7 linked regions of the Macaca mulatta genome follow. The protein of the gene in region 4 purifies or fractionates together with the protein of the main gene of each other region. This does not show direct contact. Links are inferred from orthologs where the notes say so. Each region holds a gene or a part of one and is shown on either strand. Other genes may lie near its edges. The genes, in order: MRPL20, YTHDC2, RPUSD3, PRR3, METTL17, RBMS1 and DAXX.

The links.
Region 1: the proteins of PRR3 (region 4) and MRPL20 purify together in Homo sapiens (co-immunoprecipitation; 3 studies listed by BioGRID and IntAct, with this or other methods). This does not show direct contact. The link is inferred for Macaca mulatta from reciprocal best matches to the Homo sapiens genes PRR3 and MRPL20.
Region 2: the proteins of PRR3 (region 4) and YTHDC2 purify together in Homo sapiens (co-immunoprecipitation; 3 studies listed by BioGRID and IntAct, with this or other methods). This does not show direct contact. The link is inferred for Macaca mulatta from reciprocal best matches to the Homo sapiens genes PRR3 and YTHDC2.
Region 3: the proteins of PRR3 (region 4) and RPUSD3 purify together in Homo sapiens (co-immunoprecipitation; 3 studies listed by BioGRID and IntAct, with this or other methods). This does not show direct contact. The link is inferred for Macaca mulatta from reciprocal best matches to the Homo sapiens genes PRR3 and RPUSD3.
Region 5: the proteins of PRR3 (region 4) and METTL17 purify together in Homo sapiens (co-immunoprecipitation; 3 studies listed by BioGRID and IntAct, with this or other methods). This does not show direct contact. The link is inferred for Macaca mulatta from reciprocal best matches to the Homo sapiens genes PRR3 and METTL17.
Region 6: the proteins of PRR3 (region 4) and RBMS1 purify together in Homo sapiens (co-immunoprecipitation; 3 studies listed by BioGRID and IntAct, with this or other methods). This does not show direct contact. The link is inferred for Macaca mulatta from reciprocal best matches to the Homo sapiens genes PRR3 and RBMS1.
Region 7: the proteins of PRR3 (region 4) and DAXX purify together in Homo sapiens (co-immunoprecipitation; 3 studies listed by BioGRID and IntAct, with this or other methods). This does not show direct contact. The link is inferred for Macaca mulatta from reciprocal best matches to the Homo sapiens genes PRR3 and DAXX.

Annotation. Positions count from the first base shown.
Region 1 is NC_133406.1:239,277,441-239,281,586, forward strand, and holds the start of MRPL20 (large ribosomal subunit protein bL20m), read left to right. Parts: upstream 1-1,346; 5' UTR 1,347-1,412; coding exon 1,413-1,499; intron 1,500-1,610; coding exon 1,611-1,721; exon of another isoform or gene 1,722-2,340; intron 2,341-2,617; exon of another isoform or gene 2,618-3,039; coding exon 3,040-3,117; exon of another isoform or gene 3,118-4,146.
Region 2 is NC_133411.1:122,452,071-122,456,246, forward strand, and holds the start of YTHDC2 (3'-5' RNA helicase YTHDC2), read left to right. Parts: upstream 1-1,376; 5' UTR 1,377-1,571; coding exon 1,572-1,758; intron 1,759-2,934; coding exon 2,935-3,025; intron 3,026-4,176. UniProt on the Homo sapiens protein: 3'-5' RNA helicase that plays a key role in the male and female germline by promoting transition from mitotic to meiotic divisions in stem cells.
Region 3 is NC_133407.1:148,636,858-148,640,915, forward strand, and holds the start of RPUSD3 (mitochondrial mRNA pseudouridine synthase RPUSD3), read right to left. Parts: upstream 2,801-4,058; 5' UTR 2,783-2,800; coding exon 2,682-2,782; intron 2,396-2,681; coding exon 2,259-2,395; intron 1,063-2,258; coding exon 1,018-1,062; coding exon of another isoform or gene 1,007-1,017; intron 903-1,006; coding exon 803-902; intron 1-802. UniProt on the Homo sapiens protein: Catalyzes uridine to pseudouridine isomerization (pseudouridylation) of specific mitochondrial mRNAs (mt-mRNAs), a post-transcriptional modification necessary for their translation.
Region 4 is NC_133409.1:152,487,934-152,491,881, reverse strand, and holds the start of PRR3 (proline-rich protein 3), read left to right. Parts: upstream 1-1,148; 5' UTR 1,149-1,198; coding exon 1,199-1,304; intron 1,305-2,029; coding exon of another isoform or gene 2,030-2,092; intron 2,093-3,948. Other genes in the region: GNL1 (guanine nucleotide-binding protein-like 1), read right to left, coding at 1-38.
Region 5 is NC_133412.1:93,838,574-93,842,733, forward strand, and holds the start of METTL17 (ribosome assembly protein METTL17, mitochondrial), read left to right. Parts: upstream 1-1,360; coding exon 1,361-1,435; intron 1,436-1,587; coding exon 1,588-1,741; intron 1,742-1,821; coding exon 1,822-1,956; intron 1,957-3,476; coding exon 3,477-3,558; intron 3,559-3,884; coding exon 3,885-3,966; intron 3,967-4,160. UniProt on the Homo sapiens protein: Mitochondrial ribosome (mitoribosome) assembly factor. Binds at the interface of the head and body domains of the mitochondrial small ribosomal subunit (mt-SSU), occluding the mRNA channel and preventing compaction of the head domain towards the body.
Region 6 is NC_133417.1:65,311,886-65,316,010, forward strand, and holds the start of RBMS1 (RNA-binding motif, single-stranded-interacting protein 1), read right to left. Parts: upstream 2,801-4,125; 5' UTR 1,794-2,800; coding exon 1,719-1,793; intron 1,198-1,718; exon of another isoform or gene 590-1,197; intron 1-589.
Region 7 is NC_133409.1:148,966,215-148,970,416, forward strand, and holds the start of DAXX (death domain-associated protein 6), read left to right. Parts: upstream 1-1,402; 5' UTR 1,403-1,447; coding exon 1,448-1,500; intron 1,501-2,371; exon of another isoform or gene 2,372-2,424; coding exon of another isoform or gene 2,425-2,441; coding exon 2,442-2,631; intron 2,632-2,781; coding exon 2,782-3,613; intron 3,614-3,757; coding exon 3,758-3,966; intron 3,967-4,121; coding exon 4,122-4,202. UniProt on the Homo sapiens protein: Transcription corepressor known to repress transcriptional potential of several sumoylated transcription factors. Down-regulates basal and activated transcription.

The sequences.
Region 1 (4,146 bases), on a different chromosome or scaffold from region 4:
CAAGGACAAGGTTGGGGGTAGGGTCACAGATTAATAGCATCTCAAATACAGAACAAAATGGAGTCTCTTATGTCTACTTCTTTCTATATAGAGGCAGTAACAGGCTGATCTCTCTCTTTTCCCCACAGGAGGTGAATTTGGTTCGAGAGTATTAAACAAATGGAACAGTTGGCACGTTTCCGTAGCAAACACTGGGGAGTTTTCCTTGTACTAGTATTCCAACTTTTCTATGATTAAGAAAAAATCATATCCAAGTATAATAAAAAGTTACAAAGAAACTGCACACCTCCCATCATTTTTGTGGCAATATAGCAGAAACATAAAATTACCCATAATACAAAACTTTTTTTTTTAGAGACTCTGGCTCCGTTGCCCAGGCTGTTGTGCAATCTGAGCTCACTGCAGCCTCCACCTCCAGGGCTCAGGCGAGCCTCCCGCCTCAGCCTCCTGAGTAGCAGGGACCTCAGGCGCGCGCCATCACCGCGCCCGGCTAATTTCTTTTTAATTTTTTGTAGAGCTTGGGGTCTCACTATCTTGCCCAGGCTGGTCTGGAACTCCTGGACTCAAGTGATCCTCCCCCCTCGGCCCCCGAAAGTGCTGGGATTGCAGGCACTGGCACCACCGCGGTCATTTGCCGTTTTGGAAGCTTAGAATTTCTAGGGCGGGCGCGGTGGCTCAGGCCTGTAATCCCAGCAGAGGCCAGGAGTCCGAGAGCAGCCTGGCCAACGCAGGGAGACCTCCCCCCTACAAAAAACACAAAAAATTAGCCGGGCTGGCGGCGCGCGCCTGACGTCCCCGCTACTAGGGAGGCGAGGGCGCCGCGAGCCCGCCGCGAGCCCAGGTCCGGCCGCTGCACCGCAGCCAGGGCGACCGGGCGAGACCCCGTCTCAAAATGAGTAAGTCAACAAGGAGAAGGCTTCAGGGGCAACGGGCACTTTCCCAGCGACGCGACCATCTGCACCTCGGTTCCTGAACATTCTCGTGGCCCTAGGAGGCGGCCTGGCCCTCCCCGCCCGCGCCACACCCGGCGCTCCCCGGCCCCGGCGCCCCCGTCCCGAGTCCGCTGCCCTCATGGCGCCCTCGGAGCCACAGCTGCGGCCGGGCCGTGCTCCAGGAGGATCCGCGCTGCGGCTGCTGTTTATTCATCGCCCGCGGATGGCCACGGGCGCTGCGGCCCCTTTTTCCTTTCAGTCCCCGTCAGGGCTCCACACCCGCTCCCCTACAAGCGCCACCACCGCGGGTTCAGAGACTCAGCCCGGCACCCGCGGGCTGACGGGAGACGACCTTCGCCCCGGAAGTCATCGCAGGCGCTGACCCGGAAGCGTTCGTGACCGCTATTTCCGACCCGGGCAAGATGGCGGTGGCGCGGCGCATGCGTTGTTGAGTATACGGGACGCCGGCCTGCAGGCACCATGGTCTTCCTCACGGCGCAGCTCTGGCTGCGGAATCGCGTCACCGACCGCTACTTTCGGATCCAGGAGGTGCTGAAGCACGCCAGGGTGAGTGCCGCTCGCCCGGCGTGGGCACTGGACGCGCGGGAGATCCCGCGGGCCAAGGGGCGGCCGGCGCGGGCCTCGCTGACAACCTTGGTTTCTCGTTTTCTGACCCAGCACTTCCGGGGGAGGAAAAATCGCTGCTACAGTTTGGCGGTTAGAGCCGTGATTCGAGCCTTTGTGAAATGCACCAAAGCCCGATACCTGAAGAAAAAGAACATGAGGACCGTAAGCGTGGACCCGGGACACCGGCCGGCCAGGGCGCTCTCGGCCCCTGCGTCTCTGCTTCGCGACCCAGCGAGTGTGCAGCCGCTCGGCCACCCTCAGCTCCTTCCTTTCTTCCTTTCATACCTCGCTTCGAAACTCCGACAAATTATGTCGCCCCGCAGGCTGACTGTGGGACATCCGTTCTCCCGCCCCCCTCGCCACCCCCACTGTCAACCCCTGCTCCAGCCCCTCGCCCGGGCCACTGCAGAGCCGCCTTGCCACTCTTCCTGCGTCGCCAGCCACCGCCCTAGTCGCTGCTGCTCTCATCTCCCCTCCGGTGGCTTCCCTTCCCTCCGACAGCTGAAGTCAACCCAGCCCCTTGCCCACCCTCCAGGGCCACTGTCTGCTGCCGTGGTGGTCCTCGTAGAGCCCACGCCTGCTGGCAACCTCTGCACACCCGGAACCCCCGGCATTTTTGAGAGGCTAGCGCCTCCACTCTGTCCACGTGCCATCTCATTTCTGCGCCTCACCACTCCCACCTCAGCCTCATGAACCTACCATCTAACATACCCGTGTTTTTGTTTTTTTTGTGTTTTTTTTGAGGCAGAGTCTCGCTCTGTCGCCCACGCTGGAGTGGCTCGCTGCAAGCTCCTCCTCCCGGGTTCACGCCATTCTCCTGTTGGGACTACAGGCGCCTGCCACCACGTCCTAATTTTTTGTATTTTTAGTAGAGATGGGGTTTGACAGTGTCAGCCAGGATGGTCTCGATCTCCTGACATCGTGATCCGCCCACCTCGGCCTCCCAAAGTGCTGGGATTACAGGTGTGAGCCACCGCGCCCGGCCGTTTTTTTTTTTTTTTTCCTTCCCACGGAGTCTCACTCTGTCACCCAGGCTGGAGTGCAATGGCGTGATCTAGGCTTAATGCAACCTCCGCCTCCTGGGTTCACGCGATTCTTCCACCCCAGTCTCCCGAGTAACTGGGACGGCAGGTGTGCATCACCAAGCTAATTTTTGTGTTTTTAGTAGAGACCGGGTTCAGCTATGTTGGCCAGGCTGGTGTCGAACTCCTGACCTGAAATGATCGGCCTGCCTTGCCCTCCTAAAGTGCTGGGATTACAGGCCTGAACCACTGCGCCCAGCCAGGTTTTTGCTGTTTTTAATTTTGAAACAGGGTCTTGATTTCACTCAGGCTGGAGTGTGATGTCACCATCATAGCTATTTGCTTTTTTTATTTTCCTATTTACTTTTAGAAAAATATTCCTTAGTTCAATTAGAGCCTTTGCTAGGACATAACATCCAGAAGTCATTTTTAAGTATCTCCATGTTTTCTTATTTCAGCTCTGGATTAATCGAATTACAGCTGCTAGCCAGGAACACGGCCTGAAGTATCCAGCGTTCATTGGCAATTTAGTGAAGGTATGGGTGAGCATGTGGGCCCTGCTGAAATTATGGATATCTGCAGAAACCATCATGTGGGGTGTGGCGGTGCCTCCCATAGCCCAGCGACTCAGGAGGCTTTGGCCAGAGGATCCCTGAGACTGACTTCTGGGCTGTAGTTTTCTTTGCTGATGGGGTGTCCATGTTAAGTTTGGTATCAATATGGTGACCTCTTGGGAGCAGGGGACCACCAGGTTGCCTAAGGAGGGGTGAACCAGCCCAGGTTGGAAACGGAGCAGGTCACAGTTCCCATGTTGATGAGTGATGGGATTGTGCCTAGGAATAGTGCCAGCAACAGCCTGGGCAACATAGTGAGACCACTCTCTACAAAAAAAAACTAGTAAAAATAGCTGGGTGTGGTGGCACAGACCTGTAGTGTCAGCTATTGAGGAGTCTGAGGCAGGAGGATCACTTTGAGCCCCCAGGGGTTTGAAGCTGCAGTGAGCTATGATGGCACCACTGCACTCTAGCCTAGGTGAGAGCGAGACCCTGTCTGACAAAGAATAAAGAAAGCCATGGCCGGGTGGGGTGGCTCACGTCTGTGATCCCAGCACTTTGGGAGGCTGAGGTGGGCAGGAGTTGGAGACTATCCTGGCCAAGGTAGTGAAACCCTGTCTCTACTAAAAATACAAACATTAGCCGGACGTGGTGGCAGGCACCTAGAATTCCACCTACTCCGGAGGCTGAGGCAGGAAAATCGCTTGACAACTTGGGAGGTGGAGGCTGCAGTGAGCTGAGATCACGCGACTGCGCTCCAGCCTGGGCAACAGAGCAAGACTCCATCTCAAAAAATAAATAAAACCCTCCCATCAGACCTGATCCAGCCCAGTAGTGGTCCATGCAGCAGAGGTGAGGGGTGCCACTCCCGCCGCACTGTAGCTGCACTCTGTCTTTGTGTGGGGTTCTCGCAAGTCTGGGAGCTTACCACACTGGTTGGCAGCAGAGCAGAATTGGAAACAAGTCATGTGTTTCTGGAATGTAAGTCCTGATGTTTCCCCATTAAGAGAA
Region 2 (4,176 bases), on a different chromosome or scaffold from region 4:
CATAGTTGTCAGTGGCCTAGCCTAAGCTTCTTTACTTTGTGGAAGAAGAATTCTCAGCCTCAAAACAGGGTAAACCTTAATGCACAAACACCTTTCAAGGCCCTGCTTATCTCATATTTGCTGATGTTCCAATGGCCAAAGCAAGTTACATTGCCAAGGACAGAGTCCATATGGGAAGGAAGAATACAAGGGTGTGAACACGGGAATGTGTGATTCATCAAAGCCATACCTTTGATGAATTCAACAATTTACCATATTGTTACAAAAAAAAAAAAACTCCCTAAATCTCAGCAGTTTACCACAACTAAGGATTATTTCTTACCCATGTCATATTCCAATGTGGGTTGGTGAGGACACTCTATCACACTCATTCAGGGGATCGGGAACCTGCTATCTATCTAGTGGTTCTACCGTTGTCTAAGAACTTCCAGAAGACCAGGAAAGGCAGAGAAGGGAGACTTCAAGGAAGGTGTTACAGACCAATCCTGGAAGTGGTGTACATCAGTTCCAGCAACATTCCAATGGCCATGTGAACTCAGCCATGTGGCCCCCAGCTAACTGCAGGGGAGTTGGGAAATATCACTCCTAGGAAGAAAAGGAGAAACATTTTTTGATGAGTATCAGTATTCTATGCCACAGTTCATACTTCTTGTCACCAAATATTCCACCCCCTTTTTACCACACACAGAATACACGTATATCCTCCCCAGACACCTGGAATTCTATCTAGTCACTGCATCCAGGATCTGTTGTTGATACACAGTCCTCTTTATTAGATTCAGATGTGTATCCTTATTGCCAGGTAACTCATGAACTATGTAAATATGTACTACGTACCTGTCCCCACTCAGCTACCCTGTGTAGCGTGATAGAGCAAGGGTGGCATACTTGCATTAAAATCTCCCATTCAGAAAAGGGAAGAATGCAAGACACCTAACAGTCGCTCATTTTTTAGTATATGTATTTTTTATGATATTTTTCCAAATGTTGCACGGGAAATATATATACTAAAAAGTATTCGTTTATCTGAAATGCAAATTAATTAGGCATTCTGTATTTTTATTTGCTAAATCTGGCAACCCTCCTCCTACTATAATATAAATTCCATGAAGGTAGGAACCTTCTCCAATGTATATCGAAGGCGTGGCATAGTGCCAGGTCCACAGTGGGAGCCCATATATGCTTACTGCAGGAATTAATGAAGGACTAAACGAGATAGCAAGGGAGTGAGTAAGAAGACGAGGAGCGACCCTTGGCGGGCGGCGGGGGAAGAGGACCGCACCACAGCTCGGCAGAGCCTCCCTTAGGCGCGCAGCGGCGGCCGCGCTGAGGTCACGGGCGTCGGCCCTGGTGACGTCATTACGCCCGCGCTCCCCGCCTTGCCGTGATATCAACGGCGCAGGTTTCACTTCTGCTGTTGTGGTGACTGAGGGCTTTCTGGTGACTTCAGCCCAACGCAGGCCGTCTGCGGAGCCGCCGGGTAGTGGCCCCGGAGTCCCACGGTCTCTGTCATTGGCTGTCACCCAGCAGGCCTGGCCGCTCCCGTGCGGGGAGACCATCTCTTCAGGGCAATGTCCAGGCCGAGCAGCGTCTCCCCGCGGCAGCCGGCTCCTGGCGGTGGCGGAGGCGGTGGCCCCTCGCCGTGTGGCCCTGGGGGCGGCGGGCGGGCCAAGGGGCTGAAGGACATTCGCATTGATGAGGAGGTGAAGATCGCAGTCAATATCGCGCTGGAGCGCTTCCGATACGGGGACCAGAGAGGTGAGGTTCCCGACAGGGACCCTGCTGGCCGTCAGGACACCCCCTTACCCCAGCGCCCCCCAAACCTGGGCCCACCGAGTGATGGGGTTGCCTCCGAAGAGGGAGGGAGGACCCGGGCCACCGTCCGGGTCGGGCCTCAGCGGCGGCACCCGGGTCTGGAACGCGGCTGTTAGCCCTGCGGTAAAATGCGAGGTGCTCTGCGCATTAGTGGGGTTATGGGCACTTTGCTCGCTAGCTGCAAGTGTTTTTTTCCCCCGCGTCTTTCAACAGCCTTGGGCGGTTAAGCCACCGTGTTTCAGATATTGGTTAGCCTTAACCCTTAAAAAAATTTTTTTAAGGGAGTGTCACCTTAATTGTGGCACGTTTAAGCTACAGATGTAGAAAAGCAGAAAGAAATCAAACATATAAGTAAGTGCACCGGTAATACGTTTGAACCCTGAAGCAATCACGCTACCCACTTAAACCTGTTTGGCACACGAAGCCTCTTCCACACCTCCTGAGGTTAGAAAGCCGCTTGTCTTGGATCATATAGTGCAGAACCAGCAACTGACCTGTGGTGACCTGTACAGTATGTTGAGGGCTCATTCGGACCTGCTGGCTTAATTAGGGGACCTCTTACTCTGGACTCTTTATAGTCAAAAATGGGGAATGTTCTGGACAGAGAGATTGTGAATTCACATTAAAAAAAGAGAAAGCCTCAGCAGTATATAACAAATCCCTCTGAAATAGTGAAATATGAATTCTATACAGTTTCGAAAGCAAAGACAATGGAGTTTCATGTTGAGAATTCATAATGTTTGAGCATATCTCATCATTTATTTTGTTAACTAAACAAGTAGGGACCAAGTTAAATATGTTCAGTCATTATACCAACTCAAAATTCCAGCACAAGTAAGAGGAGTCGTTTATTGGTGAACATCAGAGGCCTTTATCACATTTAGGTTTAATACATAGATGTCTTTTTATCAATATCAGAATTCTGGTAGACGTTCAGTAGTTATTAATAAAATATATTAGTATTATTAACTTAGAATATGAAATATAAAGTAAGTTAACCTCACATAAAGTATAATAAATTTGATTGTCTATGTTTTTCATATTTTATGTCTGTGTGTATTACTTGAGAGAAAATTGCCTACCTACAAATTGTACTGCTTTTATTTTTTTCTCATGTAGAGATGGAATTTCCTTCTTCTTTGACCAGTACTGAAAGAGCCTTTATTCATCGACTCAGTCAGTCTCTTGGTTTGGTCTCTAAAAGTAAAGGGTAAGCTGGTAGCTTTTCTTATTGTTTTTAAAAAAAGATTATTTGCTCAAAAAAGGGAGAATGTTTCTGAGTACGTTTAAGTAGTTATTACTGTTTTAACTTCACATTCTTAGTTGTATCCTGTGTAGATAAAATGATTCAGGTCTGTACCAAATTCACCTCTTTCCTCTTCCTTCTATCTACCTCTCCCTGCCTTTTTTGTTTTGTTATCTTTTTCGCTAGGAAAATGCTTTTTCCTCTACCCAGCTTAGGTTCCTTGGCTGGGACCCTGCAAATTAGACTGATAAAAAACATATTAACAAGAGAAAAACATAAGCTTATTAAGATATGCATCATGCATACATAGGGGAAAACTCGATAGTAACTCAAACATGGGGCTTATGTGGCATCTTAATAAAGAACAATGAATTTATTTAAAAAATGACAAGACAAAGGAAAAGGACTTTGAACTTGTAGGTGCAGTAAATTGTGGGAAGGTATATATGGGGAAACTAATGGAAGGTATGTGTTGTTTTAGCAAGGTTGGTTATGTAGGTTCCTCTGGTGCTGTCTCTGGGTTAAGAGTCTAGAGTGGTTTCTCTTATTAAGAATAGTCCTGCCCTTTCTGGTAAAGCAGGGGAGGGCAGAGTTCTTTTAGGTCTGCTTCTTCTCAATTGCCTTCAGCTCAAAATAATCTTTATGGGAGAGTGACATATATTTGGGTGGCATACTCTGAACTCTTTCAAAGGTAAATTTTAAGATGTAAGAAAAAAATAGTTTAAAAGTTGAAGTTGATTTCTTGAGAAAAATATTTTTATTTTTTTATAGAAATGAAATCTCATTTGAAATATTGATGTACAAAAGATAATAAGTACAATTATTTATGAAACTTATGTCTTTTACTGTTACTGCACTGTAATAGTAAGCTTTAGAACATATGTTCATTGTTTTCTTTCCTACCAAGTCAAGAATCGGATGATTAGAAATAATTTTAAAAAGTGGTACAGGAGGAAATTGTTTTGTTTTGTTGGGAGGATCACAGAGCTACAGTGGGGAAAAGTCATTTGAGCCATCCAAACTGAAAAACTCTAAATTCTGTGGACCTATTTCATTTTGTCAGTAAGGATGGTGGGATCAATATAAAGGAAGCTTTCTCACTGTTGGTGCTGTTG
Region 3 (4,058 bases), on a different chromosome or scaffold from region 4:
TCGACTAGCAATGCCTGCCACGAGTACAGTCATGGAGAAATGACTGCACACTAAGCATAGGTATTATTTTCTCTATTTTACCATTAGGGGAACTGAGGCTCAGGGAGGGTTTTGTTTTGTTTTGTTTTTTTGAGACAGGGTCTCACTCAGGTTGTTTAGGCTGGAGTACAGTGGCAGGATCTCAGCTTATTGCAGCTGCCATCTCCTGAGCTCAAGTGATTCTCCCATCTCAGCCACCCGAGCAGCTGGGACTACAGGCATGTGCTACTATGCCCAGCTTGTGTGTGTGTGTGTGTGTGTGTTTCTTTTGTTTTGTTTTTTTAAGTAAAGATAGGGTTTTGCCATGTTGCCCAGGCTGGTTTTGAACTCCTGGACTCAAGCAATCCTCCCACCTCGGCCTCCCAAAGTCCTAGCGATTACAGGCATGAGCTACCATGCCCGGCCTCAGGGAAGGTTTTGTTGTTGTTGTTTTTCCAGAGATGGGGTCTATTTTGCCCAGGCTGGTCTCGAACTCCTGGGGTCAAGTGATCCTCCTGCCTTGGCCTCCTAAAGTGCTGGGATTACAGGCGTGAGTCACTGTGCCCAGCGTCAGGGAGGTGTCATGCTTTGCCTGGTATCACACCATTTGTACTTGAGGATTTGAACCCAGAGTCATCAGCTTCCTCCTCTTCACTGTACCTGTATCCACCTCTACGATCTCAAACCTTCCTATGGAAAATGTGTCAGCATATCCCAAAGCAGCTGTTTCCCCACCATAGATGGATGCCTGTACTCCTAGCTTCCTATCACCCCTACCACTTACTTCCCAGATGCTCGGACAACCTGAAGCTCCTGCTCCCCGAGCCCCAGGGACTGGCTCAGCTCTGGCAGCACTGACAACAACGTCAGCTCTCCTGATTTTCCTGGAAAGTAAGAAAGAAAAATTACAAGAGGCCAAAGCTTCACGCCTTCACTTTTCCCTCCCCAGACACAAAACCCCCTTCTGCTGCATTCCCTTCCCACATACCCGGCCTGTACCTGTCACTGGTAGACCCTGTGGCTTGTTCAACGTCACTAGAGGTCCTGAAACATACATCACATGAACATCAGCAAAAGCAACAGTAACCCTTTATGCAGCACTTAAGAATTTCCAGAGCACTTTCTCACACATCTTAGCACATGGCCCCATCATGACTCTCAGACGTGACTTATCTACCGCACACCAAACTGAACTGCTTTCTGTTCCTCTGCCACCTCAGAGCCTTGGCACTTACTGTTTCCTCTGTCCCCAAATTTCCCAGGTCTGGCTCCCTATCACCTTGGCTCAAATGTCACATCACAGAGAGGTCTGAATCTCCAATCCAACGTCTGCCCTCTTCCTACAGTTCCTCACCATTAGAACATCCTGTTTCAGTTTATGCATAGCACTTATCACTAGTAACTTGTTCATTTATTTTCTGACACCCATTTCTCCCATTAGAGAGAAATCCATTTCTCCCTTGAGAGCGGAAACCATATCTATCTTTTTCAGCACTGTATACCTGCCTAGAACAGTGCCTGGAACACAGCATATGTTTAAGAAATAGTTGAGAAAAGAAATAAATCACTGAATGGAGAGTGGGGTTCAGAGAAATTCAGTTATTTTCCTAAAGCCACACAGCAAGCTGATCACAGAGCCTAGATGTCTGACTCAAAGCCTGTGTTTTGTCTATCAATAAACAATAATTTGTTGTCGTTTTTTTAGACTGAGTCTTGCTCTGTTGCCCCAGGCTGGAACACAGTAGCACGACCTCGGCTCACTGCAACCTCTGCTATCCGGGTTCAAGTGACTCTCCTGCCTCAGCCTCCCCAGTAGCTGGGATTACAGGCGGACGCCACCACACCTGGCTAATTTTTGTATTTTTAGTAGAGACGGGGTTTCACCATGTTGGCCAGGCTAGTCTCGAACTCCTGACCTCGGGTGATCCGCCCGCGTCAGCCTCCTAAAGTGCTGGGATTACAGGCGTGAGCCACCGCGGCCAATAAACAATAATCTAGTATAGCAACTCCTGTAACTGAGCGCCGGCTATGTGCAAGGCTTGATAGTTATTTGCATCCTCTCCCCACTCTTAACCCTACTGCATCATGGCGGTAAGGTTAAAAGCGGGGAGAGGGTGCAAATTAGGTGGCTCGTCCCAGCTCATGCTGCTAGTGGGAGGCAGAAGCAGGGCTGATCCCGTGGCTTCACTCCGCGGCAGTCCCCTCCCGATCCCTGTGCGGCCGTGCCTCTCACCCCTCACCTTTCCGGTCCACCACGGCTGCCCGCAGCGCATCAACCAACTCCTCCCGACTGAGGTTTTTTGGCAGCAGCCCCGGGAAGGGCTGGTCCCCGAGGGGCCCCGACCGTAGGCGGGAGCCGCGGGGTTGCCTGTGATGCCTGGACAACGAGGGAGAAGCAATGGGAGTCATTCCGTCCCGAGGTGCCGCCCATTCCTATCTCCCGACGCCTCTTCCCAAAACCTGCGGCCTCTGACAAATGCCTCACAATGTCTAGGCTGACCTCGAAAATTCAGGTAGACCGGTCCCATCCTACAGTCGAGGGCACCGAGGCTGAGAGAGGCCAAGGGGCTGTTTTCGGGTAACATCTACCTGATGCAGATCCCGCACGTGCCTTCCCGCTGCCCTAGCCTCCGTCCCGCATGAGGGAGGGGGTACTTAATCACCGGGCTTCGATGCCAAAGCCTGCGTCCTCGGGCGCTGTGCTTACAGCCAGGCCCCGCCGCCAGCCACTCCAGATCGGACCCAAAACACGGCGGCCGTCCATCTCCCGAGTCAGTACAGTGCGCATGTGCTTTCAGAGGAGCAGCGCCACGCTCCCGCCAGCGCGCTGATTGGTCAGCTTGAGTGTCAATCGGAATGGTGACGAGGCGGGACTCAGAGCCGGAGGAGGCGGGCTTTTCCTTCTCCCAGGAAGGAAATACAGCATTGCGGGCCTGTGCTTTTGGGGAGAGCTCAGGCAGAGGAATTTGATCTGTGAAGAAAATGTGTCTTGGTCGGGCGCGGTGGCTCATGCCTGTAATCCCAGCACTTTGGGAAGCCGAGGAAGGCAGATCACAAAGTCAGGAGATCAAGACCATCCTGGCTAACACGGTGAAACCCCATCTCTACTAAAAATACAAAAAATTAGCCGGTCGTGGTGGTGGGCACCTGTAGTCCCAGCTGCTTGGGAGGCTGCTGCAGGAGAATGGCGTGAACCCAGGAGGCGGAGCTTGCAGTGAGCTGAGATCCGGCCACTGCAGTCCTGCCTGGGGGACAGTGCAAGACTCCATCTCAATAAATAAATAAAATAAAATATACAGAGTCCTCCTTTTTCAGCAGTGAGTAACTCAAGGCCTTGGTGGTTTTGGAGGACAACTGCAGCTAAGGAGTCAATTTGGGCCTAAAGGACTGATAAAGTTTATGATACGTCTGTCATGCTAGCAAAGAAGTCATTAGAAACACTACAGAAGGTCGTGACAGAGGTTGAAATGCCTGCTATTCCAGTACCAAGAGCAATAGTGGAGGCAGAAAGTCCCAAATTGACAAGCAAGGGAATTAGTGGAATAACTCTTCTTTGTCGTGTCGGTGTCATGAGGGGAATAGGAAGCTCTTCGGTCCCATTTGCAAATTGAATTTTGGGAGTAAGGAAAACTAGTGTGCATATTCCTGTCCAATTAGCAGGTAGACACATGTAAGTGGAGGAGCCACAGAGGAAGAAGAGACCTTGTGCAAGGCAAACTGGAAATGCAAAGTAAAAAGATGAGATGGAGTACTGTAGCAGGACAAGCCATAGACAAAACTCCTCACACACCGAGTTAAAGAAGGAAGGGGTTTATTCGGCCGGGGGCATTAGCAAGACTCCTGTCTCAAGAGCCGAGTTCTCTGAGTGGGCAATTCCTGTCCCTTTTCAGGGGTCATAACTCTAAAGGGGTGCATGTGAGAGGGTCATGATCAATTGAGTAAGCAGAGGGTACGTGACTGGGGGGCTGCACGCACCGGTAATTAGATCGGAACAAAACAGGATAGGAATTTTCACAGTACTTTTCTATACAATATCTGTA
Region 4 (3,948 bases):
TTCTTCTGCTTCACGCTAAAGGGCTTCTTCCTCGGCATGGCCCGGACCAGTCACCTGGCCCGCCCTCCGCCGAGCTCCTGCCGCCTCAACTGACTGCCCCCCGGGGCAGTCCCCGCCGCAGGGGCCCGGGACCCTAGAGGAGGCGGAGCTAGCAGGTGACGTCAGCGGGCGGGCCCGACCGAATTGCCGCCGCGGCGGCGATGGAAGGCGGACAGGGGAGATACACAGTCACTTCCCTCCAGGAGCGAGGCGAAAGGATGATGCGGGGTGGGCTACTGGCACGTGAGAGCCAGTAGCACCGAGAGAGCACCCCGGCGGCGAGGAAGGAGGCGCGCGTGGGAGGACCAGGCTAACTTCGTCACGGACGCTACCAACTCGCGTTCGGAGGAGGGGGGAGCGCGTGTCATCACTACCTTGCGCTCCCGGGAGAAGCTACCACTCACCTGGAGGGGGCGGCGGAGCGGAGGGCGGGGCCTATTACCTAGGGGAGAGGAGGAGTGGACACGCTGAGGCTACACTCCCAACCCCCAGGCTTGACCTTAGTGGAAAGCCGAGACGGTGCGTCCCGGGAATGAAGCCAGGTTGCTGGGCTACACCGGGGGCACGGTCAGAGGTCTTTAGGGGAGGGCGGCGGTCTGAAGAGTCCTGGCTGCCGACCTGCTGGGACCCAAATTCCTTGTGGGAACGATGATAAGGAGCAGGTTTACAGATCAGAAGTGCAAAAGCGGGCGAGAAGCGAAACCCAGGCGGGACAAGGGCTTTTGGAGGGAGGTCAAAGGGCACAAAGTTGTGCCTGCAGCTGTTACCATAGTAACCGAGGACCGGATGTGGCGATCTTACGGTGCGACAGTCCTCTTCTCAGGCCTTCTGGCCCGAGAGCCTGTTGACTCTGTGACACACTCTGAGGAGCTGGTTGTGGTGTTTTCCAGCGAGGGAAGAAGAGCGGAATTTTTTCAAAGCATTTATAGAAACGCAGCAAAAGGAAGGTGTGAGGTTGCCGCCATGCCTGGCAGAGACGGAGAGAGGCAGTTTACTCCAGAATGCGGCCGCCACAGATGTTCTCCGCAACCTTCCGGAAGTGGAATGGTGGGAGCTTGGGCATTGCTGCCCACCGACCCCCCGGAAGCGGAAACAGAATCCCCGCGTGCCCCTTCCTCACTACCCTCCAAATCCCGCTGCAGCCATTGCCGCAGCCACGATGCCGAAACGAAAGAAGCAGAATCAGCACCAGCCACCGACACAGCAGCAACCCCCACTGCCCGAGCGGGAAGAGACTGGAGATGAGGAGGATGGGAGTCCCATCGGTGAGGGGTCAGGGAGGGATGTGCACATGCCTGTCAAGCCCGTCCGGGCGAAGGGCTAGGGGCTAATAAGGTGCGAAGGAAGGGGCTCTAACGGAAGGAGGAAGGGCGCACGCGCTGGGTAGGGATGGCAGCAGGGCTGTCCCAAATGGAGCCTTGAACCAGGAGTTCTCTTACTGGAACCGTCAACCTCAATACGGCCCCAAACCTTTCTGGAACGCGGGGGTGGAGAGAGTAAAGAGCTCTTTTGCGCAGCCGCAGAACAGTAGGGGAAAGGGGCAGTAGAGATGTTGCAGATTGCGATGACTGGGTTGACAGTTTGTATCCGGATTTTGATTGAAAAGGTACAGGTGCCGCTTTCTCTAAACTAGTCCTCTGGCCGAGTGAAAGGAGAAGAGAACTGACTGGCCAGCAGTTAAGGTGAGGGATTGGTTTATGTCTGGAGACACTTAGGTTGTTTTGGATAGCGACGGTACGGTGAGGAAAAGAAAAAGTTGTATCTTTTCCTGCATTATCGCCTTTGATTGAATATCTACTTTTTGCAAACCCTGAAACAGCTTTGCAGAAAAAAGAGCAGATAGATGGGGTGAGAACTCCTAAGACTGCTGAAAATATACCTGACTTTACTGGTTGAATTAAGAAATGAGTAATACAAGAAAAACGCCTAAGAACAGAATCATCAGTCCTTTAATCCATTCTGATGACCATATTTTCATGTCTGCTCTTAGGACCACCCAGCCTTCTGGGCCCTCCCCCCATGGCCAATGGAAAACCTGGCGACCCTAAGTCAGGTGAGGAGGAAGGGGCCCTGATCCTTGTATTAGGTCGCGGATAAGACGGCAAGGGAGGGGATAAAACCCAGGAAGGACTTAAAAATCAAAAGGTCAGGGATTCCATCCCTAAATGAATGGAGAGAAGTTGTATATTTGCTGACTGAAAAACTCAATGTTGTAAAAATGTCACTTCTTCCCAAATTGATGTATAGACTTCATGCATTCCAAGTCAGAACACCCATAATGTTTTTGTGGAAATACACAGTATTATAGGGAAATGCAAAATATCAAGGTGAGAGACTGTCAAAACAATCTTGAAGTGGGAGGGCGTACTATGAATATCAAGATTTGTAAGCTGGGCATGGTGGCATATGCCTGTGGTCCCAGCTACTCAGGAGGCTGAGGTAGGAGGATCCTTTGAGCCCAGGAGTTTTTGAGGCCACTTGGGCAACATAGTGAGATCCTGTCTATAAAAACAAGAAGGAAAAAAGACTTACTATAAAGCTACAGTAGTTACAACGATGCGGTTTGGACACAATGATACACATAAGTCAACAGGACTTATGTCCCGAAGAGTCCAATAACAGGCCCATACATGTGTGGACACTTCATTTATGATGAAGATGGAACTGGAAAGTTGGTCTTTTCAATAAATGATATTGGATCAATTGGATATTCATGTTAAAAAATGGAATTTCACCTTGTAGTCATAATCATATTGTATAATGGACTGTAGATCTAAGTATAAAAGGTAAGAGAATAATTATTCTAGAAAGTAAATGTATTTTCTAAGAGTAGCTAAGAGTTCTTAAACAGATAAGAAATGTAGGTATACACACTAACCATAAAGGAAAGATTGATAAATTGAACTCCATTAGAAAATATAAATTTGCGGCCAGGTGCAGTGGCTCACACCTGTAATCCCAGCACTTTGGGAGGCTGAGGCGGGCGAATCACAAGGTCAGGAGTTCAAGACTGGACTGACCAACATAGTGAAACCCCTATCTCTACTAAAAAATACAAAAATTAGCCGGATGTGGTGGTGTGCGCCTGTAATCCCAGCTACTCAGGAGGCTGAGGCAGGAGAATCGCTTGAACCTGGAGGCGGACGTTGCAGTTAGCCGAGATCGCACCACTGCACTCTAGCCTGGGTGACAGAGTGAGACTGTCTCAAAAAAAAAAAAAAAAGAAAGAAAAGAAAATATAAACTTGCCAAATAACGCCATTAAGAAATTAACAGGAAGCTATACAATAGAAGATATTTGCAACAAATATAACCAATAAAGATCCTTTATCTATAATATATAAAGGATTCTTCCAGACAAGCCATTTGAAAAATCGACCAAAAAAAAAAAAAAAAGGACACCTTATTAAAATGGAGCTCTAAATGAACTAAAAGTCTAAATCAACAAGTACTCAATATCATTAATCGTCAAGTAAATGCAAGATAAAAATATACCACTTTGAAATTAGAACTCTTGTGTACTGCTGCTGGGATTATAAAATGGTGAAACTACTATATAAAACAATATGAAGAGATTCCTCTTAAGCAATTAAAAATATGTATGTATGACAAAAAAAATTAAAAATAGAACTACCCCAGAACTCCTGCTTCCAGGTATATAGCAAAAAAAAAAAAAAAAATGGAAAGCAGGGTCTTGACATATTTGCAGACTCATGTTCATAGCAGCAGTATTCACAATAACAAAGAGGTGGAAGCAACCCACATGTCCACTGATGGAAGAATAAACAAAATGTGGCGTGTACATACAATGGATTATTATTCAGCCTTAAAAGGAAGAAAATGCTGTCACATACTACAACATGGATGAACTTTGAGGACTTTATGTTCAGTAAAGACATAGTGTATGATT
Region 5 (4,160 bases), on a different chromosome or scaffold from region 4:
AGGAAAAGCTAGAAAAGAGGCAAGTGTCAGCCTAGGACGTGTCAGTGGGCCCTGCATTCATCTACAGGAAAGGCGGTTCCGCATGGAAGAGGCAGAGCAGCCCTTCTCCCCTTGTCCACCCATGTCTTCTCACCCCGCCTCACCCCGAGATGAGGAGCCCTGAGAGAGCTGGCAGGCTGCGGTCGGTGAGGGCTGCAGATTTGAGGAAGAAGTCGAATAAGGGAGAGGACCACAGAAGGGCAGTCCAATTAGGGTGCTGGGACCTGAGATCCCTGGACCACCTGTGGTAGGGCCTGATGACCCAGGAGTCTAGCCCTCCAGATGAACTGGCTGGTTCCACACACAAGTCAAGTGGATATGCTGGGAGAACATCCTAAACCTGTAACAGAAATTAGGGGGGCAGGAACCCACAGAAATCACACACTGGGTGAGCTCAAGTGTTTGGAGACTGAGGTAGCAGTTGTGCACTGTCAGATTCCGAAAGTAGATATGGCCTTGCATATGCCATTTATCCTTCTGATGCTCTGGTGAATGAAGGAGTTGATGGCCTGCAGACTCTGGAGACATTACCCTGTGCTACATTATCACGTCACAAGAGTGGCTGAACCCACCTGAGATTCTGCACCTCAGGTAGTCACGACAGCATCTGTAGAAGTCCTAGGCCTGGGGGAAACAGTGTGATCTAGCAGCAGACTCAGAAGGGTCCCCGTCAGAACCAAGTTTTCTGTGAAGCGAGTTTCAGTCCTTTTCCCTGAAGTACCTAGCACGTAGGTGTTCTCAGTAAGTGTTATGTTAGCTTACTAAGAAGACTGGTCTCATTTGAAGAGAAATTAACAAATGTAAAAAAATAAAATAAAATAAACCGATTAACTAGGTTTTTTATCAAACTATTAACTATTCAATAATTATTTAACTATTAATTTCTGTTGTCTAAAGTCTCTTAAATATGATTTTTCTCTTCTCTTCCTTCCGTTACTGCAGTCTCCCTTTTTCACACAGGGAAACAACCCAAGACTCAGAGTTCTCCGCGGAGGAATGCAAAGAACACAGGAAGTCAGTATTCCCAGAAACAGTCTCTGCCAGTCAATGGCGCGCTCACACCCAACTCCATCCCGCCCCCGTCCCGCCCCACCCTCTTGATTTCTGGCGCCGGTGACCAAGCCCGACGCAGCCTCCAGCCCAAACACGGTTTCCGCCTCAAGGATATTTATATAACCATTGCTTATTGGCTGCTGGCAAACACTCGCTCTTCTGGTTGGCTGAAACTGTCGGGGGACGTTCTGCGAAGGCGGCTCCTTGCGGCGTTGTGACTGAGGGTCACAGGAACCTACATTTCCGTTTCCGGTTCGCCTCCGGAGCCATGGCGGGGGCACTGAAGTCTCTACTGATATTAGGAAGATGGTGCCCCGGCCTTGGAGTAGCTCCCCAGGCCCGGGTGAGTACCTACATTGCCGGCTCACGGAGAGACTCTGGATCTGCAGAGACATCTCCGCGCGGAGGAGGAGCGCTTCTGGCAGCCCCCGCCCTAGCGAGCGCCAGCAACTTTCCTTTCTGCCAGAAAATCAACCTTTCTTTCTCTGCCTGCAGTCGCTCGCCGCAGTAGTACCTGGAGTGACACAGATAGATAACAAGTCCGATTTCCTGCAGAAGAGGCCTCATCGCCAGCACCCTGGCATCCTAAACCTACCGCACGTGCGGCTGCCACAGGCACTGGCTAACGGTGCCCAGTTACTGCTACTTGGTGAGTAACGGCTGGAAAGGGAGAAGAAACGGGACTGGACCTGCATGCAAGTGATTCCGCTTTTCATCTTTGGCCCATAGAGAATGCTGGGCCCACTATGGAGAATCAGGTGCAAACACTGACCAGTTATCTCTGGAGCAGACATTTGCCTGTGGAGCCAGAGGAGTTGCAAAGACGGGCTAGGCATTTTGAGAAGAAATTTCTGGAAAACCCAGGTAGGACTTAATAATTAAAAAGTAGGCCAGATTGAAATGTCGGTTAGAAATGAAGAGTAAGAAATAATTTTGCAGTCTCTCGAACAGGTACTGAAGTCTCTTATTTGACTTTCTAACCAGAGCAGCAGTTGTAACAATGATGCCTTATTAAAAGAAGGTAGATTATTCTAGAGATTGCTTAGGTAAAGGTTAGAATGTCCCAGTATACTGTTTTTTGTTTGTTTTGTTTTTTGTTTTTGCTTTGAGACAGAGTCTTGCTCTGTCGCCCAGGCTGAAGTGCAATGGCTCGATCTCGGCTCACTGCAACCCCCACCTCCCGGGTTTAAGTGATTCTCCTGCCTCAGCCTCTTCACTAGCTGGGATTACAGGCGTGCACCACCACACCCGGCTAACTTTTGTATTTTTAGTAGAGACAGGGTATCGTCATGGTGGCCAGGCTAGTCTTGAACTCCTGACCTCAGGTGATCCACCCACCTCGGCCTCCCAAAGTGCTGGGATTACAGGCGTGAACCAACGTGCCTGGCCACCAATACACTGTTAAAATCTAGATACTTGTTTTTTTCCTGCACGTCCACTGGATTAGGACCTTCTAAGTTTTTATTCAGGTAAAATAAAGTCCCTGGATGACCTCTACCCAGTACTGAAATCCTCTTCTGGGATAAGAGGATAAATATAATTCATCAAGTTAGTTTCATGATTGTGAGCTCCTTAACATTACCATTTATTCATCTTGCATTCCCTGCACACCTTACAGTACCTGGCTCATAGTAGGTGATCAGTAGATACTTGCTCAATAGTACTGAACTGAACAGTCATGAGACCTAGATTTTCAAATTTCTTTCCTCTCCATAGGAAAAGTGGAGATCATCAAAACCTTAAATTTTGGAGAAGTGAAGAAATCCAAAAAATAGTGCCCTTTAATTTTTTTTTTTTTTTTTTTTGAGACAGTCTTGCTCTGTTGCCCAGGCTATATAGTGCAGTGGCACGATCTCAGCTCAACACAACCTCTGCCTCCTGGTTTCAAGTGATTCTCCTGCTTCAGCTTCCTAAATAGCTGGGACTACAGGTGCACGCCACCACGCCTGGCTAATTTTTGTATTTTTAGTAGAGAGAGGGTTTCACCATGTTGGTCAGGCTGTTCTGTTCTTGAACTCCTGACCTTGTGATCCACCTGCCTCAGCCTCCCAAAGTGCTGGGTTTACAGGTGTGAGCCACCACGCCCAGCTTACCCTTTAAATTTTTATCACACTTTCCTTTAATGCAAAACAAACCTGTGGAACAGGATTGATTAAGCTGAATAAATCATTCTTAGAAGCAAAATGCTATTTGAAACAATCTGTTAGTGGTAGTAGTTACTGTTAATTCTTGCCTGAAACTTTTCTCTAGGTTTGTTGTCTCTCTTGAGCTTTAAGACTTTCTTAGGTGGAGTCAGGGAGGACTGGGTGGGCAGTATATTCTGATATTGGATCTGAGCCCTGTTCTCCCTAGGTCCTGACTTCCAGTCCTTGTTCTCACCACAGACTTATGTCAGACAGAGGAGAAACTTCGTGGAGCAGTGCTACATGCACTACGTAAAACTACCTACCATTGGCAGGAGCTGAGGTAAGGGGGCCTAGAAGAGGTGCACAAGAAAGAAAAGGCAGAGAGAGTTGGGGGAGTACAATTACACAATCAATTTAGTATTTTTTTTTACATCACCTGACCTTAAAAGGATCAATTTAGTATTTGAAAAAGTTAAAGTTCGAAGTTTCGAACCCTGAAGTTTGAAAATTTAGTGTTTGTAAGGTTCCCCAGGACCCTTTTGTATTGGGGAGTGAAAGGCCTGAGCTGGAAGAGCCTTTTCCAAGATGTCATTTTCTAAATCTAGAAGGTAACTATGGGATTAAGGTTATTTACTAGTATGTATGACTCTCTGATTTTAATGGCAGCTACACTGAGGGACTGAGCCTGGTGTATATGGCAGCAAGACTGGATGGTGGCTTTGCAGCAGTCTCCAGAGCATTCCATGAGGTGAAAGTCCCTTAACTTCCAACCTGAACTTTTTGACCATCAGTTCCCTATTCATAAAGTAGTTTTCTAGGATGGGGATTCTTGGGACATTGCATATGCATTTTTTTTTAAAGAGGATCTCCGCTGGGCATGGTGGGCTCCTGCCTGCAGTCACAGCTGTTTGGGAGGCTGAGGCAGGAGGATTGTTTGAGCCA
Region 6 (4,125 bases), on a different chromosome or scaffold from region 4:
AAAAATTACTAAGGTAAATGTGCCTGTAGAAACATGGTTTTTTTTCTTCTTCACCTGAGTGGGTGTATTTATTATTCATATTGTTAAGTGTTGAATAAGCTGTCCTTTAGCCACCCAATGCTGCATAATTTAAACAAGTGCATTAAATATATAAGACATCTAAAAGGCAGTGCATTGATTATGCCACAAAATTTCTTTGAACACCTTCCATGTAGCTCACAGAAAACTAGCATCTCCTGCAAGTTCCTGAAAACAAATACTGTGAAAACTACACAGAGATGAATAAGGGGTATCCTTGCTGCTACCATTTTGCTGCTTTCTGGTGACCCAAAGTGGAGTGGGAATTGGGTGAAGTGAAAATGAGGCCCTGGAGTGCTAGGACATTTCTGGTCTAGATACTGACAAGTGTCCTTTTTACGTAGACAAATACAGGGTTATGTCGTAAGTACATGAAAACGTGGACCACACACATTCTAAGAAAGAAAAGGCTGAATCAGAGATTCTTTGTATCAGGCCGGAAATGCCCAACTACCAGCAAGCAGAGCGTGATTACAACCTCCCAAAGAAAGTTGGTACACTGCATCCATACCTGATACTTTTGTGATCTAGAAGGGCACCCGGAGTTGTGATAGATGTTAATGGCAGAAGAAGGACGCTGAAGAAGGCCGCTGCGTCCAACTTCCACCCTCCCAAATTCTGGCGGCTGCTTCCAAAGCAGTGAAATTTCCAGTCTTCCTGGCCCAAACAATTTTTTTTAAATGAGTTCGGGAGGCATCAAATTCTTATTGTAAAAATAAGATAGGCCCACTAACAAAGTACCTAGGGTCCCTAGAAAGCCAGGCGCAATTTGTATGACTACATGTCATCAGCTGTTGTTACCCAGAGTGTGCCGAGGTCACTTTTTAAAAAGCAACATTGGAAATCGATCTGTGGCAAACATATAAGCTAGTTTTGTTTTTGTTTCTTTTTTAACCAAATACGAAGTCACTTCTTTCTCTGCACTGAAATCTGCCCATTGTCCCTCCTTTGCAAAACCTCTAGAGATTAGAAAGGACATCAATGAACGCGAGTGAACTTTGGCCACTTTTCTACCCAAAACACCAGCGTAAAAGTAGAAATCAGTAACCAGGTGAAGTGCCACACCGCACAAAGATCAGAGGCGAGGGGCGGGCGCGCAGGGCCGGAGGCGGGGAGGAAAATGTCCCGGCCCCGCCGCCCCTCCACCCTAGTCGCTGCGCGCGCGGGAGGTGGAGGGGCGTCCCTGGGGGGCGGGAGGCTCCCGCCTCCACGGCGAGGGGAGCAAAGAGTTACAGCTTACAGGGCGAGGCCCTTGGAGAAGGGGTCGAAAAGCCGGGCCACCAGCGGATCCAGACGCGGACGCCAGGCGACGGCGGCCGGCCGGCCAGGGCTCGGCGAGGGGCGCCGCTCGGCCCCGCGACCCTCCCCGCTGGCCGGGCCAGGAAGGGGCTGGTGGCTCTTTCCTGTCTAGTCTCTCCCCCCGCGCCTTTCTGTAACCCGATCCCCGCACTCCGCTCCCAGGGAAGCCGCCGCCCCGCGCGCCGCCCGGCTCTGCCCAGGCCAGCGCTATAGTTAGCAACCTTCCAGCAACTCCGCCCGGGGGCGGCGGGGGCTCGCTGCGCGCCCCTCCCCGGGCCCGACCCCGCGCGCACCCCCGGACCCCCTCCTACGGCCGTCATCTCCCCCCGGTGCCCCTTTACCTTGGCTTGCAGATACTGGGGGTAATAGTAGGTGGCGTACTGAGGGTACATCTGCTGTTTCCACACTTTGCCCATGAAGCTGGAAGGGAGCCTGCAGTGCAGGGTCGCGGACACTTTGGGGTTTCCAAGTCTCGGGCTCTCCTGCCTCTCCCTTTCCGGCGGCGGCGGCGGCGGCGGCGGCGGCGGCGGCGGCTGCTGCTGCCGCTGCTCCACCTCCCAGCCGGGACCAGACGTCCTCCTCCTCCTCCTCCTCCTCCTCTTCCTCCTCCTCCTCCTCTTCCTCCTCCTCCTCCTCCTCCTCCTCCCAGGCAGAAAGAAAGACACTGCAGAGCGCAGAGGGCACCCCGGACAGGGCGCTCCCAACGAGTTTCCTCCCGGAGCCCGACTGCTCCGGGGCTGCCAAGGGCTGGCGCGCTGGCCGCGGTCCGCTCGGGGAAGCTGGCTGCGCGGGGCTGAGAGGTGATCAATACAAGTGGAAAGTGCGGCAGCGGCGGCTGCGCTCGGTGCCAGGCGGCATCTGGGGTGGGTGCGCCCGAATGGGAGAGAGGAGAGGGGCTGGCGTTCCGAGGCCGTGGGGGAAGGGCGGGCGGGGGCGGGGCCTGGGCGACGCCGAGCCCGGGACCCGCGGAGGTGAGGGCTGAGTTTTAACCACTCCTCACCTCCTAGGCTCGCGGTTGGACTGGCGGAAGCCCTGGGAGTCCAGATCGCTTTGTGTCGGGGGTGGGGAAATGGGAGTGGGAGTGAGGGTGGAGGGGGAATGCGGGGGGGGACCCCGCTTAAGAACTGCAGGGCGGGCACCTCTTCTGCTTTCCCGAGTTTTTATCTTCGTAAGGGGGAGGGGAAATAAGGGAAAAGAGGAAATCTGATTAATCTCTCACTTCCCATCGCCCGGTAATTTTTTTTCACAAGGGAAGGAAAATGATTTAATGCCCAACAAAGCTGGAGTCCGGACACCTGGGTCCTGTTCCTCCCACCCACCACCCACCCCGGGCCACAAGACTAATCTAGGTGACCTTGGGAGGGTTAGCGTCCTTCGGTTTGGTTTTCCCAGATGTGAGAGGTGAAATCATGCCCCTTGCACAAGGGGAGGCAAAGCACATACACACACACACACACACACACACACACACACACACCCCTCACAACAAATAGACGGATCCTTCTAAGGGGGGGATGCCGCAAAGAGGCAGAATGTTATTAGAGGACACAATATAGACATCAGCTTTTCTCTGCCTCTTTCTAATGCTGCCAGACAGTCTGTCAACTCCCACTCAGGAGCAAGGAAACTCCCTGAGTTTGGAATATTTTAAGGCCATTTTGAAAGTCACGCTGGCATATTGTTGCAGTGTGCTTCAGTGACATATAAAATCAATCTCTCTTTCTGCCTCTCTCCATCTCCTAATTGTCACAGCTCTAGACAACCCCAGACCAGCAGTGGTTCAGTTCACTACATAACTGGATATAATTTAATGGAGTTAATTGGTCCCCGAAGCTGCCTGCAGAAGACTTTTATATTTCCAGCTCAAAAAGAGAGCTAATACCAAAACGTACATACGGATAGCATAGGTAAGCAAACATCCTCAAATTAGGGTTCCGGCACATCTAATAAAATATAATAAAAACAGTGTTTGTTATTAAATAGACCTTGATTACTTTGTCATTTTGGTTTTTGGAGAGTCTTTTGTTAATAGCACAAGGTAAATTAAACTCAACTGGAATGCATTATTTTGTTAAACAGTTATTATTTTTAAATAACATTTTAAAACAGGTTTAGTAAGATACTTTAAAGCAATGACAAAATAGAGACCCAAAGCCCTTATAATCGTTATATGGTTTAGACAAATTTCTAGATCATACATGTTTGACAAAAAATAAATATAAGTATAGGTGAGCACGTTTTGGGTCTGCCAGGAGGCAAATCATGTCCCTCTCATTTACCTATGTAAAATCCTATAAGGAAGCTAATGTTTACTGTGTCTGCTATATTGTAGGCACTGTTGAGGTGCATGCAGACCTGAAAGGTGGAGTGGGTCACTGTCAGACTAGGGGAGCCTAAAATATTTCCCATATTGTTTCAATGTGGGCCCCTTTAATGTTTTTAAACAGAGAACTGACATGAACTAAATTGTGCTTTAGGAAGACTAGGAATGATGGTTTGGAAGAGTGACAGAAGGAAGAGAAGTAAATCGAGAACAATCGCAGAAGTTCTAGGTTTGAGGTAATAAGGGAAACTACCAAACTTAGACTGTTCTACTTACTGTTTTTTTCTGGATGATGGAAATTCAGCCTGTTTTAGAGAACCCAAAAGCAGACCCACACTTATATAGACACTTGATTTATGACTGAGTTGGTATTATAGCACAGTGGAGAAAGAATGAACTTTTCAATAAATGATTCTGGGTCAATT
Region 7 (4,202 bases), about 3.5 Mb from region 4:
TATTGTAAAAGGAGAAGTGAAGAATGAGAACCTGTACTGCAGGTGTTTCCTTAGGAAGACCAATTTTGGGAAAGTTGAGGTTCTGGAAATTAAATCCCTTACATCTCCCAAGTTCCAGTCCTCGCGGAGGTTTTTTATGTTCCCCATTTTGAAAGCTGTAGACTTTGACGACTGGAGAGAAGTGATGTGGGATTGTTCAATGGACGGGTGTTTGCGATTCTATGACTCAGCGTTAGGGATGTAGTAAATTCTGTGAACCTAGTTAAGCGGCAAGATGCCCACCACTTGTGGAAATGGGAATCTTTGCGATTGGGACCTTGTTAATCTTTCTGGTTTCCTCATAAGCTCACCTCTGGACCCAGCCTTGCCTCCACGACTCCCTCCAACCTCCCTAAACTCAACGAGGTGGGTATCAAGTCTGTTTCTTCATCTTTCATTCTTTTTTACCCTCTCCCAGAAGAGGAGGAGGAAACCCAAAGTATTTTATGAGCCTCATTTCGTTTCACAGCAGCCCTTGCAGAGGCTCAAACTCTCCTCCAAGCCCCACCCCATCATCGCCCATCCGCAGACCCTGGGCCTCCACGACAAAGCACGGCCTCACAGTCAGCACCGACGGCCCTTCGAGGACCCCCTCTGGAGGAGAACCATTCAGGTCCCAACCGTCTGGTCATTAGTTCTGTGGTGAAGCTTGAAAAGCAAATCAGCAACAATAGTAATAATAATAACACTTTTGTATGGCGCATTGTGCTTATTTGTACGCATGTGTTATAACGACTGTGGGACGCAGCACCTGGCAGTAGAAGCAGCTGCTGGACAGCGGCAAGGAGCGCGCCGCCCTTGCAGGGGAAGGGGCTGGGTCAGCCGAATAAGCCGTGGAGATGGGAACCTGGGGGACAGGAAAGCAGGGCCAGATAGCTTGCCAATAGCCTAGTTGAAGATAAAGGTTTTACTTCCCTTTTAAGAGACTTCTGCCATTCCCTGAAACCCTACGCAGCTTTGGAAAGCCTAATTCCTAAACCACCCTGTTCGGTTCCCCTGCCCCTCCTTGGAACGGAGGCTCCGTTCTCCCCACGCGCTACTCGCCGGCGGTTGGACCCCAGGGAGGAAGTTTCTGATTGGCGGAGTCAGAGAAGCACCGGGTGAAAAGAGCTCCTCCGGCTGCGCACCGAAGTTCTGGCGTAGCCAGCGCCGTACGGCAAAATGGCGGCCCCCAGCTGCTTTGGGACGCCCGGGTTCGGGGAGACAAACTCCGACCTGGAAGACAGCGCTGACTATGTGGGCGGCACTGGAGGTGTTCGCGGGGCGGGCCTACGGCCGCTTCCGGCCACAGGAAGCCTTGTTCCGTACGACAATATGGCGGCGCTTAGTTGCATGCAGGCGGAAACTCTGTTGCTTCCGGTCCGTAGTGGGGCCTGCGGTGGGAGTGGGAAGGAAGGCGGAGGGAACCATGCGAGGTTCTGAGATCTGCGGCGAGGGTCGCCTCGAGAGACGGTTTCTGAGGTGGGGGCCGGATGGTGCGGGGATCAGAGGCGGGGGCGGGGATATCGAGGCAGAGGTATTGGGGAGAGCCGGGCTCTGAGTCTGAGGGGAAAACTGTGGTACCTTCCTATCCCTGAAAGGGAGTGGGGCGGCCGGGGGCTGAACTGGGGGAGGGGGATTTGGCGGGAAGCGCATCTACCGGACCGGCCGGACCCAGGGTTGGGATCTAAGAGGAATCGGGAGAGCGTAGCGCGGTGCGGGGGGACTTCTAATTAGTTACAGGTCACCGAGAGAATGGGGAAAATTAGGGTGGGGTGAAAGGGAGGGGACTTGGGTAAAATATCTTCAACCTAAAGGCCCAGTTTGAGGAGACTCATCTGAGGGTGAAATACGGAGATAATTCAAGGAGGGGAAAAGAGAACGGACTGTTGGGAGGGAACCTCTTTCACCTCAGAGAGTCTAGGAGTTGGGGTGATCATTCAGGATGGGGCGGGTGTGGGGTTGACTTGTTTGAGGGCAGAGGGGGCAAACACATGAGGTGGCGCCCACAGGAGTGTGTTGTCTGTGCCAGGGGGTGTCAGGACGATTTAGGGTGCAGTGTGGGAGAAAGAACCAACTTGCCAACTCTGAGAAAGAGTGGGGAAATGCAACAGAAAGACCGGAAATCGACGTGAGGGGTGGAGCAGAAGGTGGCAACTTAAGGTGTGGGGGGGTTTGCCCCCCCCCACACCACTTGAAGGGCCCGAAAAGCATATAGAACTAATGGTTATTGAAATCAGGTGGTGAAGACAGTGTTGGTCAGGGCTGAAACCCAAGGAGTTCAGAAAATGCGTGAGGTGAAGGGATGGGGCTATGCTGGAGGGGCTCATTCTGAGGCCCCATCCCCTTCCAGCAGGAATTCTGAAATCCCCACCACTTCCTCCTTCCGGGGGATTTGATTCCCCCATGGCCACCGCTAACAGCATCATTGTGCTGGATGATGATGACGAAGATGAAGCAGCTGCTCAGCCAGGGCCCTCCCACCCACTCCCCAGTACAGCCTCACCAGGGGCAGAAGCCCCTAGCTCTTCTGAGCCTCATGGGGCCAGAGGAAGCAGTAGTTCGGGCGGCAAGAAGTGCTACAAGCTGGAGAATGAGAAGCTGTTCCAAGAGGTGAGCTTTAGCTGGGAAGATCATTGTACCCCAGGGAGGGGGATGGCTGACTGGCTCTCCTGTCCTTTCTTCCCCACTAACCCCACTCCCCTTTCTCTCAACCCCCTCCCTTGTCTCTCTTCCCCTTCCTTCTTCCCCTGAACCTTCTAGTTCCTTGAACTTTGTAAGACGCAGACAGCGGACCACCCTGAGGTGGTCCCATTCCTCTCTAACCGGCAGCAACGTGCCCACTCTCTGTTTTTGGCCTCGGCGGAGTTCTGCAACATCCTCTCTCGGGTCCTATCTCGGGCCCAGAGCCGGCCATCTAAGCTCTATGTCTACATCAATGAGCTCTGCACTGTTCTCAAGGCCCACTCAGCCAAAAAGAAGCTGAACTTGGCCCCTGCTGCCACCACGTCCAATGAGCCCTCTGGGAATAACCCTCCCACACACCTCTCCTTGGACCCCACAAATGCTGAAAACACTGCCTCTCAGGCCCCAAGGACCCGTGGTTCCCGGCGGCAGATCCAGCGCTTGGAGCAGCTGCTGGCGCTCTATGTGGCAGAGATCAAGCGGCTGCAGGAAAAGGAGTTGGATCTCTCAGAATTGGATGACCCAGACTCCACATACCTGCAGGAGGCACGGTTGAAGCGTAAGCTAATCCGCCTCTTTGGGCGACTATGTGAGCTGAAAGACTGCTCTTCACTGACCGGCCGTGTCATAGAGCAGCGCATCACCTACCGTGGCACCCGCTACCCAGAGGTTAACAGGCGCATTGAGCGGCTCATCAACAAGCCAGGGCCTGATACCTTCCCTGACTATGGGGATGTGCTTCGGGCAGTAGAGAAGGCAGCTGCCCGACACAGCCTTGGCCTCCCCCGACAGCAGCTCCAGCTCATGGCTCAGGATGCCTTCCGAGATGTGGGCATCAGGTTACAGGAACGACGTCACCTCGATCTCATCTACAACTTTGGCTGCCACCTCACAGATGACTATAGGCCAGGTAGGGGGTTAGTGGGATGCCTCTCAGTGACCCTTATATGTCAGGTATGAGGCGGATGGGGCATCTCTCTAGTCCTTTCTAGGGTTTGTACTCTTCTAGTCCCTTCCACGGCTGAGTGCTCTGACTTTATATTTTCCCACGTAGGCATTGACCCTGCACTATCAGATCCTGTGTTGGCCCGGCGCCTTCGGGAAAACCGGAGTTTGGCCATGAGTCGGCTGGATGAGGTCATCTCCAAATATGCAATGTTGCAAGACAAAAGTGAGGAGGGCGAGAGAAAAAAGAGAAGAGCTCGGCTCCAAGGCACCTCTTCCCACTCTGAAGACACCCCCGCCTCCTTGGATTCTGGTGAGGTGTGGATGGGGTAAAGCCTTCAGAGAGACATTGTCCTTCCCCTGCACTGGCCACCAGGGAGTCCAGGTTGACTGATGGGGGAGCATGAGAAGGAATGCAAGAACCAAACCCTCTAGGGCAAGGGATTCCTTAGAGAAACTTCTTTGTCCCCCAGGGCCCTAGTGGAATGGCATCCCAGGGGTGCCCTTCTGCCTCCAAAGCTGAGACAGATGACGAAGAAGATGAAGAGAGTGAT